2 linked regions of the Anolis sagrei genome follow. The protein of the gene in region 1 purifies or fractionates together with the protein of each later gene. This does not show direct contact. Links are inferred from orthologs where the notes say so. Each region holds a gene or a part of one and is shown on either strand. Other genes may lie near its edges.

The links. Proteins that work in one complex are often made in the same cells at the same time.
Region 2: the proteins of DHX9 (region 1) and HNRNPC purify together in Homo sapiens (affinity purification with western blotting; 5 studies listed by BioGRID and IntAct, with this or other methods). This does not show direct contact. The link is inferred for Anolis sagrei from reciprocal best matches to the Homo sapiens genes DHX9 and HNRNPC.

Annotation. Positions count from the first base shown.
Region 1 is NC_090024.1:123,122,557-123,130,485, forward strand, and holds the start of DHX9 (ATP-dependent RNA helicase A), read right to left. Parts: upstream 3,062-7,929; 5' UTR 2,913-3,061; intron 1-2,912. UniProt on the Homo sapiens protein: Multifunctional ATP-dependent nucleic acid helicase that unwinds DNA and RNA in a 3' to 5' direction and that plays important roles in many processes, such as DNA replication, transcriptional activation, post-transcriptional RNA regulation, mRNA translation and RNA-mediated gene silencing.
Region 2 is NC_090026.1:11,145,516-11,153,178, reverse strand, and holds the start of HNRNPC (heterogeneous nuclear ribonucleoproteins C1/C2), read right to left. Parts: upstream 3,030-7,663; 5' UTR 2,890-3,029; intron 1-2,889. UniProt on the Homo sapiens protein: Binds pre-mRNA and nucleates the assembly of 40S hnRNP particles. Interacts with poly-U tracts in the 3'-UTR or 5'-UTR of mRNA and modulates the stability and the level of translation of bound mRNA molecules. Single HNRNPC tetramers bind 230-240 nucleotides.

The DNA.
Region 1 (7,929 bases):
GTATACATTAACCTTTAAGCATTGTATATGTGTATAAGGTACATTAAGGTACCCTGCATTTCAGGGCCCTTCCACATGGCCATTTAACCAAGAATATCAATGCAGATAATCCACAATATCTGCTTCGAACTGGGTTATTTGAGTCCACACTGCCATATAATTCAGTTCAAAGTGGATTTATACAGCTGTATGGAAGGGGCTTCAGAGAAGGGATACTCTGTCTGCAATAACCCTATAGTATAATATTTGGAAATACAGCTAGAAGAGAATAACTAGGATTGAAGTGTACTTTGGGAAATATAATATAAAATGAGGAAATTGTGGCCCTTAGATGGCTAGGAAATTTAGGCTGGATCTACACTGCCATATAATCCAGATTTTCAAATCAGATAATCCTCATTCTCTCTTTGAACTGGATTATATGAATATACTGCCACATAATCCAGTTCAAAGAAGATAATCTGAATTTTATATGGCAGTGTAGATGGGACCTTAGGATTCAAATACAACAGTCAGCAAAAGATTTGTATTAAAAAACCACACTTATTGGACTGAAACACAGGTGCTTATAATTAAAATGCCTTCTCCATTGCCTTCCCCATCCAATACAAAGCCAACAGCAAACGACTGAAAGGAGGCACGCTTGTCTCTTCTACTCATACCCCTTTTACACGACCATATAACCCACGTTAACTGCTTTGAACTGGATTACATTTTTTTTACACTGCCATATAACCCAGTTCAAAGCAGATAATCTCAATTTTATATGGCAGTGTAGAAGGATTCCCAGATAAATGATACTTTGCTCTTCTCTAAATGCAAAACAGGAAGCCTCACATCAATACAGTAAAACCAAGTATCACTGTTTCCCTCCCAGGCCCCTTCTACACATCTGTATAAAATTCTGATTATCTTTGAACTGGATTATATGGCAATGTAGACTCAAGATAATCCAGTTCAAAGCAGATAATGTGGATTATATATTTTATATTAAATGTAATATTACTAATAATATTACAGGATAATGTTACCGTGCAATGTAATATATAATATTAATATTGTGCTATGATAGCAATATAATATATTGTATTTACTTTTTACTTGTAAGCCATTCTGAGTCCCCTTCGGGGTGAGAAGGGCAACATATAAATGTTGCAAATAAATAAATATTCTGGATTATATGGCAGTGTAGAAGGGCCCCCTCCAAATGTGTCCTATGAGGGGACTTCTTGTCACGCAGTGTCTCCACACAGCCATATAAGCCAGAATATCAAGGCAGAAAATCCCACAATATCTGCTTTGAACTGGGTTCTACACTGCCATATAATCCAGTTCAAAGCACAAAATATGGGATTTTATTCAGTTGTGTGGAAGGGGCCTTTGTGACTTGGTTTTTCTGTCCTGACAGAGCAAACAAGAAAAGCATCCAGGGCCTTTCCACACAGCCATATAATCCAGAAAAATCCACAATATCGGCTTTGAACTGGGTTATTAATCCTCAAGGCCTTTCCACACATAATAATAATAATAATAATAATAATAATAATAAACCTTTATTTGTACCCCGCTACCAAATTAAACATGAGCCAACAATGTGATGTGGTGGCACAGAAAGCCAATGGGATTTTGGCCTGCATCAATAGCATAATGACTAGGTCCAGGGAAGTAATGCTACCCTTCTATTCTGCTTTGGTTAGACCACACCTGCAATATTTTGTCCAATTCTGGGCACCACAATTCAAGGGAGATATTGACAAGCTGGAATGTGTCCAGAGGAGGGTGACTAAAATGATCAAGGGTCTGGAGAACAAGCCCTATGAGGAGCGGCTTAAGGAGCACCCCTGACAGATGGCCATCCAGCCTCTGTTTAAAAGCTTCCAAAGAAGGAGCCTCCACCACACTTCGGGGCAGAGAGTTCCACTGATGAACAGCTCTCACAGTCAGGAAGTTCTTCCTCATGTTCAGATGGAATCTCCTTTCTTGTAGTTTGAAGCCATTGCTTTGCGTCCTAGTCTCCAGGGAAGCAGAAAACAAGCTTGCTCCCTCCTCCCTGTGGCTTCCTCTCACATATTTATACATGGCTATCATATTTATTTATTTATTTCAGTTTTGTATACCAAGCTTCTCAACCTCGTTGAAGGACTCAGCCCTGTTTACAGCCATAAAAACATATACATTCATTAAAATATCATATATCACAAATTACAAAACAACTTTAGAAACACTAAATATAAAACTACAGTGGTCAGTCGTCCTAATAAGATGGATCTATATCCACTTCCATCCAGAGTCCTATGGTGTTGTCTCTTTCCTCGAAGGCCTGACTCCACAGCCACGTCTTCACCCGTTTCCTAATGTTAGGATGGATGGGGCGGTTCTGGCCTCCACAGGGAGAGAGTTCCAGAGTCGTGGGGCCTTCCTCTCAGCCTTCTCTTCTTTAGGCTAAACATGCCCAGCTCCTTAAGCCGCTCCTCATAGGGTTTGTTCTCCAGACCCTTGATCATTTTAGGTTTATTAGTCCTCAGGGCCTTTCCACACAGCCATATAATCCAGAATAATCCACAATGTCGGCTTTGCACAGGGTTATTAGTCCATACGACCATATATTCAAGTTCAATATGGATTTTCTACAGCTGTGTGGAAGGGGTCACAGTTAGGGAAATCCACCCTCTGAGGAAACCTGAGGCCGGCGTATAAAAACCCAGCATGCACAGCTCCAGCCTCCCTCAACTTCTGCGCCTGCGTGTTTTTGCCATAGTCCCTTTACCGGCTCCCTAGTTTCACGCGCATGCGCACTAGCTAAGGCGGGCCGCACTCTGGCGCATGCGCACATTCTCCCCGGCCTTTTCATTCCCCTGCGCCCCTCGTTCCCTCCCTCCTGCTAAGGCTCTGCACCCCAAATATCAACACACCAGAGGCACGCCCGCCACCTAGTCCTGCTGGGGAGAGCTTTGCTTCAAGCGCAAGCCAGCTCCGCAGCCTTCCACCTCGAGCAGCTCTCTTCTTGCCGACGCCAGCTCTCACAGAGTGGCAAGATGGCGGCAACCGCTTCGCGCATGCGTACACCTCACTGCGCCTAGGAAGGCGTGTCTGCACTCAGGGAGGAAAGCGCGCCCCGGGTGGACGGAGGTGGAACTACACTGGTCTCTTCTGCACAACCACTCAGAGATGTAGAATCATAGAATCAAAGAGTTGGAAGAGACCTCATGGGCCATCCAGCCCAACCCCCTGCCAAGAAGCAGAAATATTGCATTCAAATCACGCCTGACAGATGGCCATCCAGCCTCTGTTAAGTCCTGTCTTGTTTCCACAGTGGCCATCCTACTGTTAGTCTCCTGTAGCACGAACAATAGCCAGAAAAGTGCCATAACACTTAACAGTTCTGTACATTTTTAGTGTTTACTAGCCATCCCCTGCGACGCGTAGCTGTGGCCCATATGGGGGTTCTATGTGGGAGGTTTGGCCCAATTCTATCATTGGTGGGGTTCAGAATATTCTGTGATTGTAGATGAACTATAAATCTCAGCAACTACAACTCCCAAATGTCAAGATTCTATTTTCCCCAAACTCCACCAGTGTTCACATTTGGGAATATTGAGTATTCGTGTAGAGTTTGGTCCTGATCCACCATTGTTTGAGTCCACAGTGATCTCTGGATGTAAGTGAACTACAACTCCAAAACCAAAGGACACTGCCCACCAAACCCTTCTGTTGGTCATGGGAGAACTGTGTGCCAAGTTTGGTTCAATTCCATAGTTGGTGGAGTTCAGAATGCTCTTTGATTGTAGGTGAACTATAAATCCCAACAACTACAACTCCCAAATCTCAACATTCTATTTCCCCCAAACTCCACCAGTGTTCACATTTGGGCATATTGAGTATTCGTGTAGAGTTTGGTCCTGATCAATCATTGTTTGAGTCCACAATGATCTCTGGATGTAGGTGAACTACAACTCCAAAACCAAAGGACACTGCCCACTAAACCCTTCTGTTCGTCATGGGAGAACTGTGTGCCAAGTTTGGCTCAATTCCATAGCTGATGGTGTTCAGAATGCTCTTTAACTGTAGGTGAACTATAAATCCCAGCAAAGGCACTGCAGACTACTTCAACCAGAGAAATCAGCCATAGCAGAGCACCTGATGAACCAACAGTATCCAACCTGGACACAGCATTTTATTTGAGAACACAGAACACAGAAATGCTGGACCACTCTCACAACCACCATGTCAGGGTACACAGAGAAGCCATTGAAATCCACAAGCATGTGGACAATTTCAACAGCAAGGAAGAAACCATGAAAATGAACAAAATCTGGCTACCAGTATTAAAAAACTCAAAAATTACAACAGCAAAACAACAGAGAGTAAACAATCAGGCACATCTTAACACCTCTCAACAAAAGATTTTTCCAGGCTCAGCCAGGCCTTCAAATGCTAATGAAGGTGGTCAGTTGAAACATTCACACCTAGCTCCAGCAGGGAAGAGCTCCTTGCCCCACCCCAGCCATTCCACAGATATATTAACCCACTTTCCTATTTCCAACAGACCTCACTACCTCTGAGGATGCTTGCCATAGATGCAGGCGAAACGTCAGGAGAAGTGCCTCTGGAACATGGCCCTATAGCCCGAAAAAACCCACAAGAACCTAGTGCCATAACACTTAACAGTTCTGTATATTTTTAGAGTTTACTAGCCATCTTCTGCCACACGTTGCTGTGGCCCACATGGGTGTTCTGTGTGGGAGGTTTGGTCCAATTGTATCATTGGGGGGTTCAGAACGCTCTGTGATTGTAGGTGAGCTACAACAACTACAACTCCCAAATGTCAAGATTCTATTTTCCCAAAATGGCAAAATAAACTCCCAGTAAATAAAATAGACAAGCTCCCAATAGGTTCCTTAGACAACAGAAAACCCCAGCTATATCGCAACATGCTAAAGAAACTGGAACAAAACGGAATAACAAAGATTGAGGACTTACTAAAACCAGACGGGACTGTAATTCAATGGGAGGAAATAAAAGATAAATGCGGGCATGGAAATTGGTTACAATGGGGAGGGCTGTCTAAAAAGCTAATAGAATTGAAGAATAAGGAAACCTCAGAAACAAATCTCGACAAAATAATAAAATGGAAAGTAGAGAGGGAGAAAGGAATCATGGGATTTATATATAACACAATCACCGAAATACAATACAACACAAAATCTACCCTAATGGAAGTCTGGAAGGAGGAATTAAATTGCAGTGAGAGAGAAATAGACAATTGGATTAATTCAATCAATAAAATAAAACACCTAAAGATTAAAGAAATGCAACGAAAAATATTGACAAAATGGTACAGAACTCCTGTGCAACTGGCGCATATCACAAAAACATGCCCAAAATTATGTTGGCACAACTGTGGTAAAATAGGAACATATGCCCACATGTGGTGGGAATGTGAAAAAATCCAAAAGTTCCAAGAAATAATCAGGAAAGAAATGGAGGAGCTATTAGGGATCAAGATAGAATGGAATAAGGCCCAATTTTTCACTCAGAAATTCGAAAATAAAGAGGAATATAAGGAAAGTGAGGAAATAATAAAACATATGATAGAGGGAATTAAAGCCTCAGTGGCCCTGGGCTGGAAAGACCACAAGAAATGGGATACAAAAACCTGGTACAAATATTTAGCAGATTACCTTCTTCAAGATGATATTAGCGAAAGGAAAAGTTACTATATGACGGGTCAAAGCAAAAAGACATGGAAAGCAAAATGGAAGGGTCTCATATATAGAATAAAGGGGAAAGATAAATATACGGTGTTGAACAAAACTATTCTCATGATTGAACAATTGTAATAAACACAGCTAAAGTATCTATTTGTTCCGGGGGGGGGGGGGGTGTGCTGGTGGCGGGATTGGGGAAAAAACTGGTATTATGAATGTTATTTTCAAAGATGGAATGTTTCTATGTATTATACAATAGTAATTTTGAATGTTATTTTCAAAGATGGAATGTTTCTATGTATTATACAATAGTAATAACAAAATTAAAAAAAAACCTTAAAAAAAATAAAAAAAAACATCTTAAAAAAAAAAAAGATTCTATTTTCCCCAAACTCCACCAGTGTTCACATTTGGGCATATTGAGTATTCGTGTAGAGTTTGGTCCTGATCCATCATTGTTTGAGTCCACAGTGATCTCTGGATGTAGGTGAACTACAACTCCAAAACCAAAGGACACTGCCCACCAAACCCTTCTGTTGGTCATGGGAGAACTGTGTGCTAAGTTTGGTTCAATTCCAGAGTTGGTGGAGTTCAGAATGCTCTTTGATTGTAGGCGAACTATAAATCCCAGCAACTACAACTCCCAAATGACAAAATCAATTTTTTTTAGTGAAGGACATACATTGGATTGTTCGGTGTCTTGTGTCCAAAGTTGGTGTCGATTCGTCCAGTGGTTTTTGAGTACTGTTAATCCCACAAACGAACATTACATTTTTATTTATATAGATTAGATACCATACTTTGAGTAACTTTCCAATGAGGATTGGAAGGAAAAAATGTAGGCAAAGGCATTCGACACAGTGAATTGCAGTGCTATCTCGACCATCCTCCAAAAAATCCGGTGCCCTAACAAATTTGTGAACATCCTGTGGCTCCTCCATGGTTTTTTTTTTCCGTGTCAGGAGCGACTTGAGAAACTGCAAGTCGATTCTGGTTTGAGAGAATTGGCCGTCTGCAAGGACGTTGCCCAGGGGACGCCCAGATGATTTGATGTTTTTGGCTCAGTGGATTAAACCCCTGTGCCAGCAGGTCGCAGGTTCGAATCCGGGGAGAGGTGGATGAGCTCCCTCTGTCAGCTCCAGCTCCCCATGCTGGGACATACATCCTTGCCGCCCTACATGAGAGCCATGTATGACTTAGGGCCTTTTACTCAAGCACTTAAGACCTGGCTTTTTACTAGAGCATTCGATCCCTGTTAATTTTTAATTTTTGTATGTATTTTATCTTTTACAATTTAGCTGTAAATCGCCCAGAGCATTCTTGGATGGAGGGCGATTAATAAGTAATTAAATGATGATGATGATAACATGAGAGAAGCCTCCTCCATGATGACATGATGGCAACAGTCTTGGATAGCAATGGCTCCCAAAGTGACCCATTTAAGGTAGAATCAGGTGTCAAACAGGGATGTGTTATTGCCCCAACCTTATTTTCCATTTTCAATGCTATAATACTTCTTCTTGTTGACGGAAAGCTTCCCACCTGAGTAGAAATCATCTATCGGACAGATGGTAAGCTACAGGTTCTTGTGGGTTTTTTCGGGCTATATGGCCATGTTCTAGAGGCATTTTCTCCTGACGTTTCGCCTGCATCTATGGCAAGCATCCTCAGAGATGGTAAGCTATTTAACCTCAGCAGACTGAAAGCTAAAACCAAGGTTACAACAACATCTGCTATAGAACTTCAATATACTGATGACAACATCATCTGTGCACATTCAGAAGAAGACCTACAAGCCACTCTAACACCTACGCAGAAGCATACAAGAAGCTCGTCTTGTCATTGAACATCGAGAAAACCAAAGTGCTCTTCCAGCAGTCACCAGCCAATCCCTCTCCAATGCCAGAAATACAGCTTAATGGTGTAACATTATATTGCTTTCAATTGTGTTGTTGTTTTATCTGATGTTTTAATTGGTTAAAGTGTTTTACATGTGTGTTTTAATTGTAATCTTGGGGGTGTCCCTTGTAAGCCACACCGAGTCCCCTAGGGGAGATGGTTGGCGGGGTATAAAAATAAAGTTATTATTATTATTATTATTATTATTATATTATAACATTAGAAAATGTTGATCATTTCCGCTACCTTGGCAGCCACCTCTCCACAAACGTCAACATTGACACTGAAATACAACACCGCCTGAGTTCTGCTAGTGCAGCTT
Region 2 (7,663 bases), on another chromosome or scaffold:
GCCCAATAAAACCAGATCACTCAAGATTACATAAAGGAACAAGAAGAATAATGGATCATACCAAATCTTGGAACTAGTTCTTTGCTTTTCTTTAAAGGCTGGGTATCCTATACCCAAGATGTTAAGACCTAGAAACATTTCAGATTCGATATACATTGACAATGGAACACAAACCCAAAGTTCTCTTCTGTAGCATAAACACCTTATAGCTTGAAGGTAATTTTATACGCAACATCCTTAAATATTTTTATCCATCAAACAAAGTGTTTATCCAGTGAACAATCCGAAAGCAAACATGGCACTATTTCAGTCATCAACATGGACCATTTTTGAGTATTTCAAAATTTCAAATAAAGGATGCTCAAACTGTATTAAGGAATGTGATGGAGAGGGAGAAAAAGCTACACAGTGGCATTTTTTAACTCTTAGGAGATTTATTATTGCGTAATCATTCCTGGTCCATCCTCTTGAATCTTACTGCAACTGATATCAGCTTGCACTGAATTTAGTGAGGATTACTTTCACGCAAATTTAGGCAGGATGCACTGGGCTTAAAGGTCCTATCAGGCATTTTATTTATTGCTGCAACAACCTAGCAGGACTATGTGACACAAATATATTCACCCAAGAATAAGGATACTTCTAATTTCTGAACAGCATCTGACCACTTCAAGATCTTTATTACTTGGGAACAAATCATCCTCAAATTGCCTGTTGATTTATGCATGAAAAGAGATTCCATCGGAACATTAGGGAGAACTTCCTTACTAGTGTCTAGATCTAGGGAAGTCATACTACCCATGCTCTATTCTGCCTTGGTTAGACCACACCTGGAATATTGTGTCCAATTCTGGGCCCCACACTTGAAGCTGTGTCCAGAGAAGGGCGACTAAAATGATCAAGGGTCTGGAGAACAAGCCCTATAAGGAGCGGCTTAAAGAGCTGGGCATGTTTAGCCTGCAGAAGCAAAAGCTGAGAGGAGATATGATAGCCATGTATAAATACGTGAGAGGAAGCCACAGGGAGGAGGGAGCAAGCTTGTTTTTTATTTCCCTGGAGACTAGGACACGGAACAATGGCTTCAAACTACAAGAGAGGAGATTCCATCTGAACACTAGGAAGAATTTCCTGACTGTGAGAGCCATTCAGCAGTGGAACTCTCTGCCCCAGAGTGAGGTGGGGGCTCCTTCTTTGGAAGCTTTTAAACAGAGGCTGGATGGCCATCTGTCAGGGGTGTTCTGAATGCAATATTCCTGTTTCTTTGCAGGGGGTTGGACTGGATGGCCTATGAGATCTCTTCCAACTCTGTGATTCTATGACTGTGTGAGCCATTCAGCAGTGGAACTCTCTGCCCCGGAGTGTGGTGGAGGCTCCTTCTTTGGAAGCTTTTAAAACAGAGGCTGGATGGCCATCTGTCGGGGGTGCTTTGAATACAATTTTCCTGCTTTTTGGCAGGGAGTTGGACTGGAAGCCACAACTCTATGATTCTAGGCCATCAAATACTAATCAAGGTGGCCAATTGAAACACTCACACCTAGCTCCAACAAACAAGAGTTCTTTCTCCCACCCTGGATATTCCACAGATATATATACCCAATTTTCCTAGTTTCTAACAAACTTCACAATCTCTGAGGATGCTTGCTACAGATGTAGGCGAAACGTTAGGAGAGAATGCTTCTAGAACAGAGGCTGGATGGCCATCTGTCGGGGGTGCTTTGAATGCAATATTCCTGCTTCTTGGCAGGGGGTTGGACTGGATGGCCCATGAGGTCTCTTCCAACTCTATGATTCTATGTCTGTGAGAGCCGTTCAGCAGTGGAACTCTCTGCCCCGGAGTGTGGTGGAGGCTCCTTCTTTGGAAGCTTTTAAACTGAGGCTGGATGGCCATCTGTCGGGGGTGCTTTGAATGCAATATTCCTGCTTCTAGGCAGGGAGTTGGACTGGAAGCCCTAACTCTATGATTCTAGGCCATCAAATGCTAATCAAGGTGGCCAACTGAAACACTCACACCTAGCTCCAACAGACAAGAGTTCTTTCTCCCACCCTGGGTCTTCCACAGATATATATACCCAATTTTCCTAGTTTCTAACAAACTTCACAATCTCTGAGGATGCTTGCTACAGATGTAGGCGAAACGTCAGGAGAGAATGCTTCTAGAACAGAGGCTGGATGGCCATCTGTTGGGGGTGCTTTGAATGCAATTTTCCTGCTTCTTGGCAGAATGGGGTTGGACTGGATGGCCCATGATATCTCTTCCAACTCTATGATTATATACTCTGCCAAATCCAATCCCGCAGAAACACTATGCCTGTGTTAGTGTCATAATCCGGATTAAGATACTGCATAGGATGTGGTATAAACACCTTTGGGCCTCCTTTGCGCTCAGAGTAATGAACAGTGATGCCATTTCTTTCCTAATCCAATTGAAAACACCAATCTCTCATCCACCTCCAGCTCAAAGCGAAGAAGGATCCATTTTCTTTCATTCCCACCCGCCCTCCCTTTCCCGCACTATGGTATCTCCCAGAAGCCATTGGAACGAATGAGAATGGAACGTACCATTTGTACAGAGCGGGGGTGCAACGTTCGAAACCTCTTATTCTCCTCCAGCTCAAATCGAAGAAGGATCCATTTTCTTTCATTCCCACCCGCTCCCCCTTTTCCCGCGCTATGGTATCTCCCAGAAGCCATTGGAACGAATGAGAACGGAACGTACCATTTGTACAGAGTAGGGGTGCAACGTTGGAACATTCGAAAGGGGGGGAGCTGACATGGGGCATACCAAGTTGGTGCTGAAAGGGGGGGGGGGCGGGTTAGAAAGGGCGATACCATTCTTAGCCTCCAGGCCCCGCCCCCCTCCGCGCTTCTTTTCCCGAGCCACGAACTCACCGACTCGAAGCCGCCGCCGCTTTATTTGGTAATATACAGCTTTCAGTCTTTCGCACCAGGTACGTTTCCCACATCCACGCTTCGGATGGTTCACAAAATGGCGTCCCCGCCGCCCTCCACCTCTGCGCCGCGCAGCATAGCCACGCCCTCTTTTTCACGTTTCGCCTCCTCACGTTGGCGTTTCCCACCACCTCATTGGTCGCTTTCGCTGTCAATCAAACCGACGGCCAATCATATCCGCGCCGATGGTGAAGTAAACGGGGACAGTGCGAATAACAATCAGGAGGAATCCGGAGAGATTTGCAAAGCGAAAGGCGGGTCCTTAGAATCCAATAGGCTAAGAGTTCTGTCGGAAAGGCGGGTCCTTAGAATCCAATAGGCTAAGAGTTCTGTCGCTCAAAAGAGCTCTCATTCCGATTGGATAATTTGGTTGTCACTTTCGCAATAATGCCTTGCAATGATTGCCCTCATCTGCCGCCTATTTTCTCCCCGCCTATGTCCTAATAGTCCCTCTTGATTGGTTAAAATACTAACCAATAGTATCAGCGTAAAGGTTTACCATTTTTTTAAAAGGCAGCTTGACGTACATCCGGGTCCCTTGGGGCAAGCCTCTATTTCCTTTGGGCACTGGGCGAATGACGTCATCGAAGCTTCAGCTCGTGATTGGACAGCTGGTAGAGCTCAAGTTTGAAAAACACACACACACTAGAGAGGTGTAGTTTTACAAGGTCTTTAGCATTTACAAGGTCTTTAGCCTTTCTTTTATACTCATGGTTTAAAAAAAATGCTTTTGTGCTTTGTAAATACTTAATAAAGATATATCTATATAAATAAAAATGTAATGTTAGTTTGTGCTACCATCAGAACTCAAAAACCACTGGGGGAATTGACACCAAATTTGGACACAAGACACCTAACAGTCCAATTTATGTCCTCCACTCAGAAAAAAAATGATTTTGTCATTTGGGAATTGTCGTTGCTGGGATTTATAGTTTACCTACAATCAAACAGTATTCTGAACTCCACCAATGATGGAATTGGGCCAAACTTAGCACACAGGGCTCCCATGACCAACAGAAAAAAACTGGAAGGGTTTGGTGGACATTGACCTTGAGTTTGGGAATTGTAGTTCACCCACATCCAGAGAGCACTGTGGACTCAAACAATGATGGATCTGGACCAAACTTGGCACGAATATTCCATATGCCCAAATATGAACACAGATGGAATTTAAGGGAAATAGACCTTGACATTTGGGAGTTGTAGTTGCTGGGATTTATAGTTCACCTACAATTAAAGAGCATTCTGAACTCCACCAACGATGGAATTGAACCAAACATGGCATACCAGACTTCCATGACCAACAGAACACACTGGAAGGGTGTGGTGGGCATTGACCTTGAGTTTGGGAGTTGTAGTTCACCTACATCCAGAGAGCACTGTGGACTCAAACAATGATGGATCTGGACCAAACTTAACACAAAAATTCCATATGCCTAAATATGAACACAGATGGAGTTTGAAGGAAATAGACCTTGACATTTGGGATTTGTAGTTACTGGGATTTATAGTTCACTACAATTAAAGAGCATTCTGAAACCCACAAACAACAGAAATGGGGCAAACTTCCCACACAGAACCCCCATGACCAACAGAAAATACTTAAGGCCATCCAGTCCAACTCTCTTCACCAGGGCAAGAAAATGTAATCCGAGCCCTCCCGACAAAGAGCCATCCAGTCATAAATATAGATAGATAGATATGATTTTCTCTCACACACACACAGATATAGTATCACAGATTTGAAAGAGACCCTTAAAGAAGGACAATGATATGTTGCATATTCCAGAGTAGGCAAACCAGACACTCTCCACATCAACACTGACAAAGAAACAACAAGAAATACTGTTTACTCACAAACATAAAAGAATTACATATATTAGAAACCAACACTTTCTCATTACTTTATTTTCCAGATCAACAGACTGGGCCACAGCAACGCATGGCAGGGGACAGCTAGTATATGTATGTATGTATTAAAGATGCCATTATATTGTTGGTTGCATTCGGTGAAAAGACACAGCCATGCCAGCATTATCTGCATTATCAAACTACAATTCCCAGGATCTCATAGCATTGGAGCCATGGCAGTTAAAGTGATGCCAAACTGTATTAATTCTACAATGTAGATGCACCCTGTGACTATTGCATTTCACAGCTGTTTGGAGTTTTGAACTCAGGCCTTCCTGATACATTTGACCAAAAAAGCCCTTCACCTGAAATTTGAAAGCTGGTCATTTATGAATTAATTGAAATCATTTATGAATTAATCCAACAGTTTATAAAAATAATAATACAAAACAAATAATACACAATGAATACAATAAAAACTAAGCCCTTATATTGTACATTTTTTATCATGTTAGGAGCGAACCAAAACAGTTGTATTGCAAACAAAACACAAAGTTTGCAGGCTTGGTATTCTATTAATTATTCTTTGACTAGTATCTGGCCACTTGGAGTGCCTCTGGTGTTGCTGCAAGAAGGTCCTCCATTGTGCATGTGGCGGGGGTCAGGTTGCATTTCAGGTCTGTAGTTTGTTCTTCTCCACACTTGCATGTCGTGGATGCCACTTTGTGGCCCCATTTCTGAAGGTTGGCTCTGCATCTCGTGAACAGATTATCTGTTCAGCGCCTTGTATTGTAACATGTATCTACATGTTTCCCTGTACAAACATGCACATATCACTGTATATGTATACACAAACAGATTGACACCTGATGAATGGATTTTCTTCTACTGTACATGTACAGCGTCGCCCTTAATGCTTTCATACAGTGGCTGCATACGGCAGGGACACGGCCACTGCCATTTTTGAGTTCCCCCCAAATTATGCAGCAACCACAGATTCTCCAATCCGGATTGGAAATTTCAGCACCCACTCTATAAGACTACTCCCAGCGTATAAGACTACTCCCACATATAAGACAACTCCCACATATACTATTCCCACGTATAAGATGACTCCTGCGTATAAGACGACCCTTGACTTTTGAGATTTTCTTGGGTTAAAAAGTAGTCTTATACGCCAGAATATACGGTAGATTATATGGCAGTTTCTATTCAGCCTAAATCTTATATGGTCCTTGGCTGGATCTACACCGCCATATAACCCAGTATCTGATTATACATTTTGAACTCGATTATATGAAACTACACTGCCATATAATCCAGTTCAAAGTAGATTATCTGGAATCGGATACTGGATTATATGGCAGTGTAGATGGGGCCCTCCAGGTAACAGAATAGTGAAAATGACTGTTATACAAGAGTGGAAAGGCTTGCTGGAAACAGCAGGGTTTGGTAGAAGATTATCAGATTCAATAATAGGAGAAAACCAATAATCAAAATCAATAGAATGCTGGGAGTAATACAGGTTGACATCCCTGACCTGCATATCCCAAATCTTAAATGTTCTGTTATTGAAAGCCAGGACAACCAAAACCCATGACTCTGAGGGTACCCAGAAACTTTCCCCTACTTTCAGGTGGCATCCGAATGAATTTGTCAAAGTTAGACAAGCAGGTACACATAAACCCTAGGGAAAGTCTCACCATTTAGCTCGAGAATCTCATAATGGATTTAAGAAGACTCACAGGGATTTTCCAAAATAGTATGCATCTGTGAAATCTTTCCAATTCTAATCGCCAGATCACATCCCCTCCCTGGGGACCCCATTGAGGCTGTGCCAACACCCCTGGCACCCATTATATCGCCAACCAAAACCCATTGTCCTGTTCCAGATGGACATGAACAGAGCTATCAGCTCCATTAACACCAACCCAGCCCCCATTTCTTTCCTCCCGTACCCCTTTCCTTGGTGGCGTAAAAACCAGCCAGCAGTTTTCAAATCAAACAATGAGACTTTATTAAATTTCATGTCAATTATTTATTTATTGACTTCATTTCTATCCCACCTTTCTCAACCTGGGAGCAGACTCAAGGCGACTTATAAATCCAGCAAAAATTCAGTGCCACACAGATAAACAATAAAACACATCTCATAAAAATATAAGCAATCTAAACATATAAGCAATTAAAACATGTAACAATCTATTAAACAGACTAAAATGCCGAGTCATAATCTCATATCCAGTCAACAGCAGACGGCATCAAGTTTCCAGAAACCAGTAAGCTTATCCTAGCTTGCTCCAGTCTGGACTAATCAGTAGCCAGAGTGGCAAAATCCTTTGTTTCAAACAGCTGTCACAGTGCTAGAAATAAATCATATGTTTGGAATTGCACTTACGTCAGTTTTTGGAGCACAGATATCCACTTTGGTCAAGGTGAATAAACACCTCTGTTCCTTGCCTTCAATTCCTCCTTGTTGTATTTGGTCCTTTGGGAGCTGAAATCACTGGACAGTTCCAAAATCATTCCACATGGATGGCTGAGACCTTAACTTTCTGATTGTTCAATGGACACCAACTTTCATGCACCAAATGATTAAAAATACAGTACTGTAGACTCTCAGTTGACTGGCACCCATTTGGTTTGGTAGATGCCAGATAAATGCAGTTTCTGGTTGGTTGAGAGTTACTATTAAAATAGGCTTAACTAATATTATACCCCATACTATACTATACCATAAAATCTGTTTGGACTTAATTTGAAATACAACAATTCAAGCAAATTAGAACCATAACAACAAACTAAACTTAATGTAACACAGTTTTATTATAACTGATTTTAAATTCTTATGTAAAGTATTATT